3 linked regions of the Canis lupus familiaris genome follow. The protein of the gene in region 3 interacts with the protein of the main gene of each other region in a biochemical or structural test. Links are inferred from orthologs where the notes say so. Each region holds a gene or a part of one and is shown on either strand. Other genes may lie near its edges.

Region 1 (5,010 bases), on a different chromosome or scaffold from region 3:
ATGTATCTGTCTAATATAATATAATATTAGAAAAGATTAACTAGATTATATAATAAACATTTCTAACCTTAAAATGCCAAAGAACCAATACCTTTCATGATTGCGAGTTAGTAATAACTGTTAGGTATCTAAAAGATCACATTATTGTATGTGCTAGTTCACTTTTATGTTTGTTGTATATATATCACCATTACTCAAAATCCCTTCCTAAGAAAGGAATTTCAGAACTAAGATTTAACAGTTACATATTTCACTAGTCTTTCACTTTCAAATTCATTTACATCTCGGTTCAAAATTTTGCTTTACCATATACTTACAACGTGGTCTATGTGTGCCTTTCTGAGTGACAATTTCCTCATCTGGAAAATAGGAAAAATACTACCAACTTTATAGGATTGACAGATAAGTGACAAACTGCACATAACATATTTGGCTTAATACGCTGCATATAACAACTCCAAAATTAAATTTTTCTTTCTTAAAATATTTAAAGCACCTCTCCTTTTCCTCTTCTGTACCATATTCCTCCTGACGGAAGGGCTCTTCTAATGATTCTTAAGGACTCTTCTACTCTAAGGATTATGGCAATCTCTAAATGTTCTAGTCGAAGAACTATTTTAACAGTGATAATGGGTAGGTAATAGCTTTACTCTACAAATGAGAACTCAGAAAATGAGAGATTTGTGAGTCAGTGGTAGACAAGTTTGAACTACTGCGATGAAGGAGATTGGGCAACTTCCCACAGTGCTAGAATGTAAGAAAAAGTATCCTTTCCTCCAGCCAATAAAAATAAATGTTATTCCAAAAGCTAATGGACAAATATGAATGCCCCTCTGTGAGTACTTCTTCCTGAGGCAGATGATAGCTAGAAGCACCACAAACCTACATCGTAGGTAGGGTATGATTTTCTCAGTCACGGTGTCACAAATGACACAATGCTATTGTGTGCAAATGAAAATTAACTAGAATGTAAACAATAACACAGTTTAATGTGTATTAGCACAGATTTTAAAGAAACACATGAAGAGTTTTCCGTATATTTTCTTAATTACTAAATTGCTTTTATTAAAACACTTCTCATGTGAAACACTGAGTCTACTATTTAGTTCTCCCAAGGTTACAGCTGCAACTGTCCTACCACAACCCTTCACCTTCGACACCCACACACACATTTTTCTGTTAGGCATTTTAGCTGGAACGCCGCTTCGAATGTCATAAAAGCACTCTGCTGCCACATTTCCTCATGTCTTACCGCTGAATAGGGGAGAAACACTACATGAAATATGGCCTTACCCAGATCTCTTTGTTGCACTGACAAAGAAAGATCAAATCTCAAAGGCATATTTGGTGTGGGAGAGCAATGATGATATTCAGATATGAAATACTATAAAAAGGATCAATGCCCTGTGGTGTGTCATGGCATTTGCCACTCTAGTGTTTGCAACAATGCAAACCTAGAGTTCAGTTTCTCAGGATGAAAATGCTATCACATAGTCTTGAAGAAAAAAGAAAGATTTGCTTTCAAATTTAACAGTCAGAAGAAAAACCCAGACAGGCTCCTGTTGCCTAACAAGTAAATCAAGGATGACAGTACCAAATCTATTACAACAACAAAGTCTGGATTATTTCTTCCTTTGACTAATACCCCAAAATAACTTTTATAATTTTAATACCAAGTTAAACAGTTTTAATACCAACAAAATACATGCTTTATTTTTTTCTAACTGTCCATGAGACACTGACCATATTATAAAGAATTTATGGAACATAAAAAAGCATATTTTGGTAGAGAAGTAGCTTACTCACATAGGAAAGGCCATATAAAATCATGGGAAGAATGACAAAGTTGATACAAAAAAAGAACTTCATATGCTAATAGTCCATTTTCATACTTTGAACATTAAACTTTTTTACAAAATTTAAAACACACTTATTCATTTTAAACACTGAGTGGGAAATTTAATGTGAGCTATCAAGACTTCCTTATATTTAATCCTTTCTGCCATTTATCCTTTAGTTTTTTTAAGATTTTATTTATGAGAGAGAGTGTGTGAGGCAGCAGGAGGAGGGGCAGAGGGAGGCTGAGAGAATCTCAAGCTGACTCTGCCCTGTGCACACAACCCAACATGGGGCTCAGTCTCAGAACCCCGAGATCATAAGCTGATCTGAAACCAAGAACTGGACAGTCAACAGACTGAGCCACCCAGGCTCCCCTATCCTAGATATTAAAAATCAGATCTGTGGATAAAGAAATTCTTTAACTTGAGAGAGACTCTTTCGAACATTAAACATAAAGACAAGATCTGATATAAATAATGGTATGTTCACCTACCCAAGCACTCACAGGTAAAATTATAAAAGATGTTTAATTGCTCACGTGGGTGGCAGTGATAATATAGAGAACAAACTTCTTCATGATTTAATAACTCCAAAAGAATGAATTTGCTAACCTGTTTGGAAAAAAAAAAAAAAAGCCTTCTAAAGTTTAAAACAGAATAAACCAATGGCACTCACAAAGACCTGTTTCTTCACCCATGCCACCAAACTTCAAGATCTGCTTAATTAGGAGGCATTCCCTAAAAGAAGTTATGAAGTTACAACTAGAAATTCAAAACCAAGAAAGATTCCCAAGAGGGGAAGGGGAGTAAGACATAAGGTCAGGGACAAGAGTAGGGATCAAAGCCATGAAATAATTAATTTGTACTTATGGTCAAAATGTTTCATACACATGAACAAAGCAACAGAAGTATCCATGCACCTGGGCACAGATACATATAAACATTCTAAAAAAGAGGAAGAAAAACCTATTATATTCAAATTCAGATCAAATCTATTGGGTACAAATCAGATACAGGAAGGAGTGGTACTTCATTCATTATGAGTCTCTACTTGAAATTCCTGAAATGCTACTACAAAACCTGTCTAACACCTTCTCTTCCTGGTGTTCTAACAAGTCATTTAAAATGCATTTTATAAGCTCAGGGCATGTTGTGGAATGAAGAGCGCTACGTGCAACTAGAAACCTGTTCTTTTCAGCTCCAAAACGTTCCCCAGAGAAAAAAAAAGATAGTCTCACCAGAGAAGAGATTAAAACTGGAAGGATCAGAAACGGGTGCAGGGGTGGAGAGAGTGGACAGAGGAACAAAAGTGAGAGAGAGAGAAGGGTGAATTCCATAATTACCTGAAGTCATCTTCCCTCTCTCCCTCTTCACTGCCAGTCATCTCGGTTATAACTTCAGAATCCAACCAAAAGACACTATCATCTCCCGAAGTGCTACTCTCACTTTCAGTCTCCATCTTGTATTCAAAAAATTTAATCCTCAAGGCATGAAATAAAGAACACCACCAATGTTCAAGTTGTTCGGCTCTGTTTATGTACACCCAGGTGTGTGGCTGATGCACAGTGATATGTGATCACGCCGGGCCACAGTCTATTACGTACTATTCTAATTACAGTTGGGGTAAAGACAGGAAATCACATAGAGCACACTCACTGCATCCGACGGCTCCACACCTGTGACACCGAGGCCCCTCCCACCGCCTCAGGCTCTGTGACCTACATAATCCAACGCAGAACCCAAATGAAGGTGAGTTTTCACTAATTATTGATCTAATAACTATTTTTCTCCACGCGGGTTTCCAGTTAACAAGTTAAAAACAGTTTCAAAGTACAAGCTTTTCTTATTTTGCTATTTCAAAATGAATTATGAAAGGTAAACCGAAAACCAGAAAGATAACACTATGATGTAGAAGTCTCCTGGGCCAACCACAAAGAGAGGCACAGTTACAGACCTCACAGTTAAGGAGGATCGCAACTCAGAGACATGACAAGCATGCAGCAGGGACCTGCCCAACTTCATGCCTTCTCATATTACACCCATCTTTCCTTCCCCGCAGTAATAACTGCCAGATACACCTTGCTCAGGCATCTAAAATGGGACATAACAGCCAGGCTTGTCCATGGCCTTTTAAAGAAAAATAAATAAATAAATACCAGAAGTTAAAAGACATTGACAATTACACCAAATAAAAGCATGCAACATTTTTAACACACCATTTAAACTGCAGACGCCCATGGCAGCAATAAAATGACTTGCTGGGAAAGGAGTGAAGACTACAGCATCTGTAACACTGACAATAACACAACTGTTACTCAGAAAATAACCACGTTGGTACCAACCACTGATACGTCAGATACTCATCTTTTGGCCCAGCAATTCCCTTTCTAGGAAATTACTGTTTCTTATTTATTTATTTATTTATTTATTTATTTATTTATTTATTTATTTATTTTTATTCATCAGAGACACGGAGAGACAGAGAGGCAGAGACACAGGCAGAGGGAGGAGCAGGCTCCGTGCAGGGAGCCCGACGTGGGACTCGATCCTGGGTCTCCAGGATCACGCCCTGGGCCAAAGGCGGCTGAGCCACCCGGGCTGCCCTGGGAAATTACTTTATTTTCACAGGTGGAAATAACAAAGAAACAAATATTCACAGCAGTAAACTTTATAACAACAGAATAGCAAAAACCACCTAACTTGCTCATTAATGGAAAACTGGATAATCAAATTACGGAATCTCCACAGAACGGAATGCAATACATTTGGGTAGAGAAACTCAAGGCAGCCCTACTGGTCAAGACTAAGGCACAGTATCAAGGCAAAGAAAAAAGAGGCAAATGTGGACAACAGTATAGATGACATGTTCCCAAACACATTTTCAAAGAAGAGGAAGGAGAAACACACAGGACTACATGCACAGAAGATACACAGGACAGTACCAGTGAGAGCTGCTGTCTCCAGGGGGAAAACACGGAACGAGAGGGAGACAGGTTTTCACTGTATCGTGCGCATATCACCCTTGCAAGAATAATAACTAACTTTAACAGTCTTTTATATCCCTCAGCAAAGAATCAGATTTTTAAATGTTAAAATAACAGTATTTAGGTCTGCTTTTTTCTTCTAAACAAATCTAACTCCTTTAATGTGTTTCATGAGTCCAATTCACCTT
Region 2 (5,112 bases), on a different chromosome or scaffold from region 3:
ATCCCTGTCCTTTCAATCAGCTTCTAACTCCCAAACTTGTCGATAATCATTATCTCAGCCAATTTTAAAATCTCCTAGTCTTTGACACACCTCTATTTTTATAATAATAGTGGTAGTAATAACAGCAGCTAACACATATTAGCTCTTACTATGTGTCAGGCACTAAAAGTACCTTCCGTATATTGACTAATTTAATCTAGGTACTGGGGATCCCTGGGTGGCTCAGCGGTTTCACGCCTGCCTTTGGCCCAGGGCGCAATCCTGGAGTCTCAGGATCGAGTCCCGCGTCGGGCTCCCGGCATGGAGCCTGTTTCTCCCTCTGCCTGTGTCTCTGCCCCTCTCTCTCTCTCTCTCTCTCTCTCCCTCTCTATCATAAATAAATAAAAATAAATCTTAAAAAAAATTTAATCTAGGTACTATTATTATTAGGTGCTCTTATCCCCATTTTACCAATGGAGAATACAAGGCATAAAAAGGTTAAATAACTTGCCTAGGGTCACAAAAATAAACAGTTAAGCCAGTTTTCAAACCCACACACAATGGCCCTTAATATTCCAAAACAATCTCTATTCTTTCATCTTCTATACTGAATCACGAAGTCCTTTAAGTTCTACAAGGACAGGGTCTCTTATGTTTAAAGCAATATTCCCAAAGCTCAGTTACATAATAGGTACTCAAAAAACTTCTGTTTATTGGATGAATGAAATATCTCTCGAACTTTCCTGTCCTATTTCCTTTGCCTCCATTTAAAGCCAGTCTTTCAGCATTTCATACTTGGGTTTGTTAATATATTCTATGAATTAGCCAATCAGGTAAACTGATATAAAATCCTCTGCCACATTTTCCATCACCCATGCCCAGTTAAACATATCTAAAGCTTTCTTGGCACTGCTTCAATTAGAATAATAAAATCTTAAGAGTCAGAAAGTACCTTTGGGATCAACCAGTCCAGTATTTTGCAGATAAACCCAAAGATGGCAAGTAACTAAATCTCGCAGCCAAGTAGAGCTAGGACCAGAACTTGATTCTTGCAATTTTTCCTCTAGGATTCACTCCTGGAGGACTTGCTTCACTCCCAACAGATGTCTCCTCACTATCCCATCAGCAAATCATGTTAATTCCCATTGTTCATGCTCAAGTTGTTTCTCCTGCCCAGCCTGCCTTCTTTTCCTTTTTCAAGAGATTCGAAACCTATCCACCCTTCAAAATCTCTTCTTATTCCATTCTTCATGATATTCCTCCTTCTCTGAAAAGTCTGTCTTCAGTAAGATCCTGGAGGAAGAGAATCACTGTCGCCTACTGGGCCAAGTTTGATGTACACTAGCACTTCCCACAAAACTAGGCTAACTTGGATGATCTTCCTTGAAAACTTATTATCCATTCTTTCCTCCAGTGCTTTAAAAAGTGATTTTAATAAAGACTAACTCACATATAGCACCTTCATAAAATGTTCATATATCTGGAAGAGAAGCTCACTCACATCTTTAATAGTACACATGTAACACCTGAAAGGCCCCAAATCACTTATCTTCTCCATTTAGAAACAACTCAGCATATTCACAAAGTCCAAACCCAGAGCTCTCGGATACAACTCAGCCAAAAGCCACAGTTCCTTGGGTTCATCTCTTTCTTTGCACACTACCATCTATCATCACTTCCTCCAAAACTCCATTTCTAACAAATAATTCACACTTCTTTTTCTTCCTCTTCTTCTGTACATTGTGTATTATAGAACCATGTCTCTTTTATCCTTTATTACTTAGTGAAAACTCCAGTTTGCTACCACTCATCCAACCTCAACTACCCAGTCCTCTTTTATATATTAAGTCACATCTACCCCTTCAGCCTGAAGTCTCATGGTATTCCAACCCCATGAAGGTCAATTTTCTTTTTCCCCCTTCTCCACTCTTCCTTCCTCTAGAAAAGTGGTCTCAAAAGTGGTGTGGGTGCAGCTCAGATAGTGCAAAAGGATCCACTGGGCTGCAGGGAAAAAAAAATAAATTAGAACTCTCATTACTTATTTTTTTCATCTTACCCTTTCTTAAATTCTATTTGTGTGCATTCATAAGTTACATAACGTACTGGTACAGCAGAACAAGTACATATATAATTAACAGATAACGAATTCTTGGAGTACGTGCTCTTTTACTGATAAAAGGGTATGATCAAAAGAGTTCGGAGACAATCATTCTAAAAATACCTCGATAATAAGACCAAAGTAATAGGTTCCAGACTGCAGAGGATTTATGTACACATGCACAGACTGCAGGAAGAAAACTCTTGTTCATATCCAAAGTCCTAACCATGCCCACCAACCTCTAACCCCTGCCAGCTTCTCAGAATTGAGTCCTACCCAAGAGCTCAGAACATAGGACAGCCTGGCAAAGCCTTTCATTTCCAGTTTGGGGGGGGGGGGGGGGGGGGGGGGAAGGGGGGTGGAATCTCAAAAGCGCTGAGATACTACCTTTATCTTTGCCATATTAGAGTATTTCTGGTCACTGCTCTCTCTTCTGACACTGCTCATAGTCTGACTTTATATGTGTGTATACTTTATACGCCAGTAGCTCCTGAGATGCGGTTCCTATTTCCAAATCCCTGGAGGCACAACCCCATTCCCTTCGCAGACGACCGGGTTACACGAACACCTACTGGACTGAGCTCACACCTCCCAGCATCCTTGCCTCCCCTGGCGATACTATCCTCCGGCCTCCCCGAGCCACACAGTCTGTCCCAGGGGAGAGGACAGTCCCTCCACCGTCCCTGAGCCCACTGCTCTTTCCTTCTCCGCCCCCGGGAGCTGCCAGCCAGGCTGGAGGCGGGCGGGGGGAGGGGTGTGACTCGACTCCCGTGACTGGCCCAGATGGCAGCGGATTCCGCCCCCACTCTCAGGCACCCCGCCACCCCCCGACCCCCCAGGGCCGCCTGTCTCCTCCCCACCCCGCCCCAACCCCACCCCCGGCCTCCCCGCGCCCTCACGCCGCTCCCACACACACTCACCGTGCTGGGTGAAGATATTGAAGCCGGCCTCCGCGGTGCGCCCCGCCAGGTCCCGCCTGCGGCCGGAGGGCCTGGCCACACTGCCGACCCGGATGCCGCGGGGCTGCGGCTGCTGAAGCCCCGGAGCCTCCCCGACGCGGCCCACCTGCTGCCCCATCCCTGCGCTCGCGTACTCCCGCGCCCCCCGCCGACCCCAGGTCACATTCCTCCTCGGCTCCGGCCTCGGGCTCCCGGCGCTGCTCCGGCCTCTCCTTCCCAGTCCAGGCCCCGGCCCCGAGCGCTCGGGCCGCCGGCGGCTCCGCACGCGGACTCCTCGCAGCAGCCGCCGCGCTGCCTCTGGGCGACTCACAGACTCTCCCCCCGCCTCCTCCTCCCGCGGCTCCGCGCCCCCAACGCCGCCGCCGCCGCCGCCGCCATCTTTAAACCACCGAGCGCTGGGAGAGCGTGGGACAGAGCGTCTCCCGCCCCGCCCCGCCCCCCCTCCCGGCCAGTCACCTCCGCTTCTCCGAGGGAGGAATTCCCGGAGGCCCCGCCCCCGGCCCCGCCCCCGGCCCCGCCTCCTCGCCGGGGGGTCCCCCTCGCGCCCACCTCGTCCGCGCGGCCTCCTCCACGCCTTCGGGTCTTTCGGGTCCTCCCGCCCTTCGCGCCCCCCGGGCCTGCGGGGTCTGGATTCGTCTCCGCCGACCCCTCCCACGTCCGGCTCTCCGTGCTGCCGCCTTTCGGAGGTGCACGGTCGAAAGCCTTCCCGGTCCCACCTCCACCTGTCAAGTCCATCAGGCGCGCGCGGAGCGCCCCAGGTGCACAGCAGGCACAGTTGGGACAGGAAAGCGCAAGGCGTTTGCTGCTTGCCATCCAGGTGAGCATCCCTGAAACGCCCGGGAGGATCCTTTTCAACACCGTTCTCAGCAGGCCTAGTCTAAGATTATACAAAATGTACATGAGGGTCGTACAAAAAAGGTACGTTATTTCATTGCAATTTTTTGAGACCCTTTCATGATGTTAAATTGTCCTCGCCTCCGTTGTCTGCACTCTGCAGCCTCATTGGAGAGACACTTACGGCCCCATTCCTCGTATTACCATGAATTCCTTTTGAACTCCTTTACCGTCTAACCACGTGTTGTTACCCTTACAGTGCTCGACAGTAAAGCTGATGGTGCCACTGGTGTGCTTTATATACCGTGCCCGTGGTCTGGTCTTCCTTTGATGACAAAGGAGAAAAAGAAAATTTCTCTTTGACCCTGAACTTACTCATCATTAATTTATTTTGTCCCAAGAGAGTGACTCAAGCAGCAGTGTTTGGATACATGCAAACACATGTGTATGTACAAATATTCACAAATCATTGTCCCACTGCACACGCTTGCATCTTAATATTGATCCAGTTTTTTAAATTCTCAAGGAACTTGGTAACTATCTTCTTACTCTTCCTTTCACTTCCTTATTTACTTAATACAAAGTATCTGTTATTACAGGTTCCACACAGAAAATATGCTTAAAGTTAAAGCAGACAGGATAGGAGACATTTCAAAGAAGCAACAAAACATTCACTAGGAAGGTAGGTTTAGGGGGGAAAGGCGGATGCGGCTCTCCTTTACACACCTTTCATAGAACCAGGATGACCTTAAAAAAAAAAAAGAAAGAAAGAACCAGGATGACCTTAGATGGACCATCCATTGACATTGATACTATCAGAGCACTATGGAATTATTCCATTGTGATCCAGGGTAACCCCAAATAACTGAAATTGCCCCTCCCCCAAATGGTAACAGAAACACTGTGCTTTAGCACTAGATAGAATATGAATTTTCCATTTGGATCAAAGCTTTCCTGTGTTTAAAATATTTTTTTCCTTTTAATTCCTGAAGCATTTGCAACTACTGGGGAAAAAAATCAATTACAAGGGATAAAGGTTATCATAGAGGTAGAACTTGGTGTATTGTTTGGTTTTTATTATCTGAGAGAATACTAATTTAAGCATAGCAGTCTGGCTTCTCTGCTAATTCATGCATGGTACATAATAGATGAGTATAGTACAGTGGCTAAGGGCAGGGATTCTGAAGCCAGACTGAGCTCAAAACTGGGCTCTGATACTTATTAGGTAAATACTTCACCTTA
Region 3 (4,840 bases):
GGGGATCCCTGGGTGGTTCAGAGGTTTAGCACCTGCCTTGAGCCCAGGGCGTGATCCTGGAGTCCCGGGATCGAGTCCCACATCAGGCTCCCTGCATGGAGCCTGCTTCTCCCTCTGCCTGTGTCTCTGCCTCTGTCTGTGTGTCTCTCATGAATAAATAAATAAATAAATCTTAAAAAAAAAAGAAAAAAAAGAGAAGACATTTGAGATTCAGATCCAGAAAGGAGTGAAAGGGTATTCCAGAAAAAAGAAACACAAGGTTCATGTAGGAGCTGTTAAGAGGACACTGTGACCTCATTTTATGCTGTGACCTAAACTGGGAATTTTAAGTTCTGGAGACTGTTGTTTGTTTGTTTTTTTAAGATTTTATTTATTTATTTATTCATGAGAGACACAGAGAGAGGCAGAGATGTAGGCAGAGGGAGAAGGAGGCTCCCTGCAAGGAGCCTGATGTGGGATGCGATCCCACATCCCAGAATCACCCCCTGAGCCAGAGGCAGATGCTCAACCACTGAGCCACTCAGGCGTCCCAGTTCTGGAGACTGTTAAAAGTTGTGCACAGGGTAGGAACAGTCTTAGAGTTGTAATTTAGAAAGCACACACTGTCAGATGTGTGCAATGTACTTAGAGCAGCAAGTCTATAGGGCACCAGTGAACAGGCTGTTCACAGGAATACAGATACAGATATGGAATACAGAGACAGAGATCATGATAGTAAGGAGAATAGAGGATACCCCTGGCCACGACTAGTGTTTAGAAGAATCTGGGCAAATGACTTGAAAGACTCAATCCAGAGAACTCCTGGCTTGGCACATTCTGCTCTCTCTGTCTTGCATGCTCTTCCCCTACTGGCCATTCAACATTCAGCTCAAGCCACCTCCTCTGGTAGGTGGAGGACTGAATCCCTTTACAGACTGGGCTGGAGCTCCTGGTTGGTTCCCTCTCACAGTGCTTGGAATTCCTTTGTCATTGTTCCTGCTTCCTCCCACTGGTCTGTGAATTCTGTGAGGTCAGGGCCCAAACCTTGATCACCTTTGCACCCACAGAGCAAATGTGGTGTCAGTAACTGCTGAGTCAATCAGTGCAAACAAAATACTTAAGCCAGTCTAGAGAGAAGATGGAGGAACCACCAGAAAAGGACCAAAGTCTCCAGGAGCTCAGGCCCTGAGGCCACATACATCTTTTGTAGTCCAACTGTGTCTCGGAGTTGCTGCCTAGAATTCCCGGGCCTTCCAGGAACTCGAACCCTGGAGCCGCGTGGCCAAAACCGCAAACACAAACCTCCGCCGACTCCTCGCTGAGCCCCTACCACCGGCCCTGGACTTGGCCCCTCCATCCCCTGCAGTCCCGATCCCCGCCAGGCGGCGACGCACACGGCGGCGCATGCGCAGTGCGCACCCGAGCTGTCCTTTGCCCTTCTCCCCATGGCGGGTTGCGGTCCCCTTCCCGGCATCCTCGCGGGGGCAAGGTGCGCGTCATTTCCGGTGGGGAAGGCCCGCGGCCGCCGCCGCCATTTCGGGCACTGCTGTGAAGCTGAGACCCGAGCCGGTCCGCTGGGCGGCGGGCGCCGGGGCAGGAGGGGCGCGCGTGCCGGCGGCGGCCCAGCGTGTAGGCGCGGAGGCGGCCATGGCGGGCAACTTCGACTCGGAGGAGCGGAGTAGCTGGTACTGGGGGCGGTTGAGCCGGCAGGAGGCGGTGGCGCTGTTGCAGGGCCAGCGGCACGGGGTGTTTCTGGTGCGGGACTCGAGCACCAGCCCCGGGGACTATGTGCTCAGCGTCTCGGAGAACTCGCGCGTCTCCCACTACATCATCAACAGCAGCGGCCCGCGCCCGTCTGTGCCACCGTCGCCCGCCCAGCCTCCGCCCGGTGAGGACGGACGGGACGGGACGGGAGGCCCCGGGCGGGGTGAGGGCCGCGGAACTCGCCAGCCTGACCGGCTGCCCCTCGCGAGCTAGCCTCCACGAGGGACGTGGGCAGAGGGCTGGAGCGACCCTGGCATGGGGGTACCTTGGTGCCCGGGCTCGTTCCCACCACTGGCGGTTGTGTGTGTGTGGAGGAGGAGCCGCTGACCCAGGCCTCTGGGTGTGACTTGGGAGGACAGCCCAGGGGAAGGGGAACTGCTTCGGCCCCAGGGTGGGGCTAGCGCCGGGGCCAGGCACTAGGGCAGGGCGGGCAACGTGGGGACAAAGAGCGGAGGGGGATATTGGCACTGCGGGGGCATCACTTGGCAGCGGTTCCCAGGATGAATTCGATAATCCTACAAGTGGCTTTTTAGGCTTGAAACATTTCCTGTACTGTTAGAGAGCCGGGTTTGGTTTGGAGAGCTATTCTCCCCTGCTGGCCTTTGATAGGAAGTCACCACATACTAGCCCGGAGGGATGGAGACACCCTCAGGAAACCGGTCAGCTTTTTCCTTTCTTGGGCATCTTTCCAAAATACTTTTACTGTCCTCTTCCCCCGCGGAGGACGAAGGTGGTGAGCTAAGTGCCTTGGTGACAGAAGTAAGCCCTCTGTGATCAGCCCAGAACAAGTTGATGTCCAGCTGACCGTGTCCAAGAGATCTTGGCGTCCAGAGACTCTTTTCCACAATTAGAGGGTTCTAGTTTTCAGGGTATTTTGTGGAGGACAGATTCTATGCCCCCACACCCCTCCCAGGAAATAAGCCAGTGGAAACAGTCCCTTCCTTGGAAGTGAATGGAACTTCCAATTTCATTGGACTTAAGCATTGTCAATGTCATATGTCAGGGCCTCTTGCTCAGTAAGTTGGGGCTGTGGCCCTTTTCTTTCTTAACCAAGGATCACTGAGATGTGACTGTCCTACTTACGCCTTTAGAGCTGTTTGGAGAATGTTAAGGAGGTTCATGCACTTAGTACTTGAGATTTGTGAAATACAGAGTAATTCTGAGGTTATTGTCAGATTACCATCATCTGTGTAACAGCACCAAGAGTTGTAGTCTTTCTCATTTTTCAAATTGAAGCAGTTTTCTTCTGACCAGCTGAGGCTAGCTCCAGGCCAGTCTCATAAGAATTAGGAGCCTCCTGAGCCAGCCTTTGCAAACTTGCCCTTTAGGGATAGTCCTAATTTAGATTCATTCACTCTGGCCAGAAATAGGGAGATGGGATAGTCAGTCTCTGTTGCTAACACGTATCAATTATAGGAAGAGTATGAGATCTTTAAATCCAGGAAGTATCCTAGGTCTTCTCAGTCTGCTTGGTTTAATTTTTATTTTAAGATTTTATTTATCTATCTATCATCTGTCTATCTATCTATCTATCTATCTATGAAAGACACAGGCAGAGGGAGAAGCAGACTTCTCGCTGGGAGCCCGATGCAGGACTCAATCCCCAGACCCAGGATCATGCCCTGAGGTGAAGGCAGTCACTCAACCGCTAAGCCACCCAGGCACGTCCCAGTCTGTTTGGTTTAATAGCATAACATGAGACAGGAATATTGATAGAACATAAATTTGCCCTAAACCCGATATGTTGTGCTTTTCCTTTTTTTTTTTTTTTTTTTTTAATTTTTATTTATTTATGATAGTCACAGAGAGAGAGAGAGAGAGAGGCAGAGACATAGGCAGAGGGAGAAGCAGGCTCCATGCACCGGGAGCCCGATGTGGGATTCGATCCCGGGTCTCCAGGATCGCGCCCTGGGCCAAAGGCAGGCGCCAAACCGCTGCGCCACCCAGGGATCCCTATGTTGTGCTTTTTCACCACCTTCTTGGTATCTAGGGTTGTGCATTACAGTGCAGTAATATGTCAAACTGTCACTGAAATTCAATTTTCAACCTCCTGCACCCCCAGTTTTCAACCTTTTATGTATGCGTTTTGCAAAATTTGGAGATGACAACAGGCAGGTTTGCTGGTTTGAGCTTTCTACACACCTTTGTGTTATGACTTTATATCTCTGCGCTTACCTTGATATTGAGCTCCACCTTTTCATAACAGATAGGAGTTCAAATCCTTGGCTCAAGAGAGAAGGTGAAGATTGCCAGAGTTTGTGGATGGGGTGTGGAAAGTTCACAGGCATTGTGTTAATTCTTGTTTCTGGTAATGTGCCCAGTTTTTCACATAGAGCAATTGATTGAGTTGCTGTCTTTATAAAGGTTACTTAGTCTTTGTTCTCCTTGCTTCCCCGTCAAGCTCTTTTCTTTTTGAAACTATACAGAGGAATTTCTTTAATTTTAGAAAAGCGTGTAGAGTATTAATAGCTAACATTTATTGACTGGTTATTCTGTGCCAAGTACTTTGCTGAGTACTTTCTGTGCCTTGTCTCATTTTCTGTCTATAACAATCTGGTGAGAAATACTGTAATCTCTATTTACTAAAATATTTTCATTTTATAGGTGAGGAAACAGAGAGATTCAGGAACTTGCCCAAGGTCACACAGCTGATAAATGACTGAGCCAGATTTTCAACTTCGGAATTCTGACTAGAGAGCTGACACTATTCTGTACTTCTTTCTCTTTCCTTTTGAGATCTGAACAGTGCTCATAGAAGATTTGTTTCTGTCACAGGGTCCTATGTTCTGTTTAAAGACCAAAAGGAAAGGATGACCAGAAGAAACTAGCTTTAGTATTTGGACAATACATGTCTTTTATCTAAAAGTCAATGATGAGGGACGCCTGAGTGGCTCAGTGGTTGAGCCTCTGCCTTTGGCTCAGGGCGTGACGATCCCAGAGTCCTGGGATTGAGTCCCCACATCAGGCTCCTTGCATGGAGCCTGCTTCTCCTCCCTCTGCCTATGTCTCTGCCTCTCTCTGTCTCTCATGAATAAATAAAATTTAATAAATAAATAAATAAATAAATAAATAAAAGTCAATGATGAGGCTTTTAAAT

The links.
Region 1: the proteins of CRK (region 3) and ARHGAP32 form a complex in vitro, tested with the Homo sapiens proteins (2 studies listed by BioGRID and IntAct, with this or other methods). The link is inferred for Canis lupus familiaris from reciprocal best matches to the Homo sapiens genes CRK and ARHGAP32.
Region 2: of the proteins of CRK (region 3) and ABL2, one has a biochemical effect on the other in vitro, tested with the Homo sapiens proteins (2 studies listed by BioGRID and IntAct, with this or other methods). The link is inferred for Canis lupus familiaris from reciprocal best matches to the Homo sapiens genes CRK and ABL2.

Annotation. Positions count from the first base shown.
Region 1 is NC_049226.1:5,524,708-5,529,717, reverse strand, and holds the start of ARHGAP32 (rho GTPase-activating protein 32), read right to left. Parts: upstream 3,375-5,010; 5' UTR 3,298-3,374; coding exon 3,182-3,297; intron 1-3,181. UniProt on the Homo sapiens protein: GTPase-activating protein (GAP) promoting GTP hydrolysis on RHOA, CDC42 and RAC1 small GTPases. May be involved in the differentiation of neuronal cells during the formation of neurite extensions.
Region 2 is NC_049228.1:20,504,679-20,509,790, reverse strand, and holds the start of ABL2 (tyrosine-protein kinase ABL2), read right to left. Parts: upstream 3,375-5,112; 5' UTR 3,155-3,374; coding exon 2,998-3,154; intron 1-2,997. UniProt on the Homo sapiens protein: Non-receptor tyrosine-protein kinase that plays an ABL1-overlapping role in key processes linked to cell growth and survival such as cytoskeleton remodeling in response to extracellular stimuli, cell motility and adhesion and receptor endocytosis.
Region 3 is NC_049230.1:45,570,317-45,575,156, reverse strand, and holds the start of CRK (adapter molecule crk), read left to right. Parts: upstream 1-1,519; 5' UTR 1,520-1,626; coding exon 1,627-1,867; intron 1,868-4,840. UniProt on the Homo sapiens protein: Involved in cell branching and adhesion mediated by BCAR1-CRK-RAPGEF1 signaling and activation of RAP1.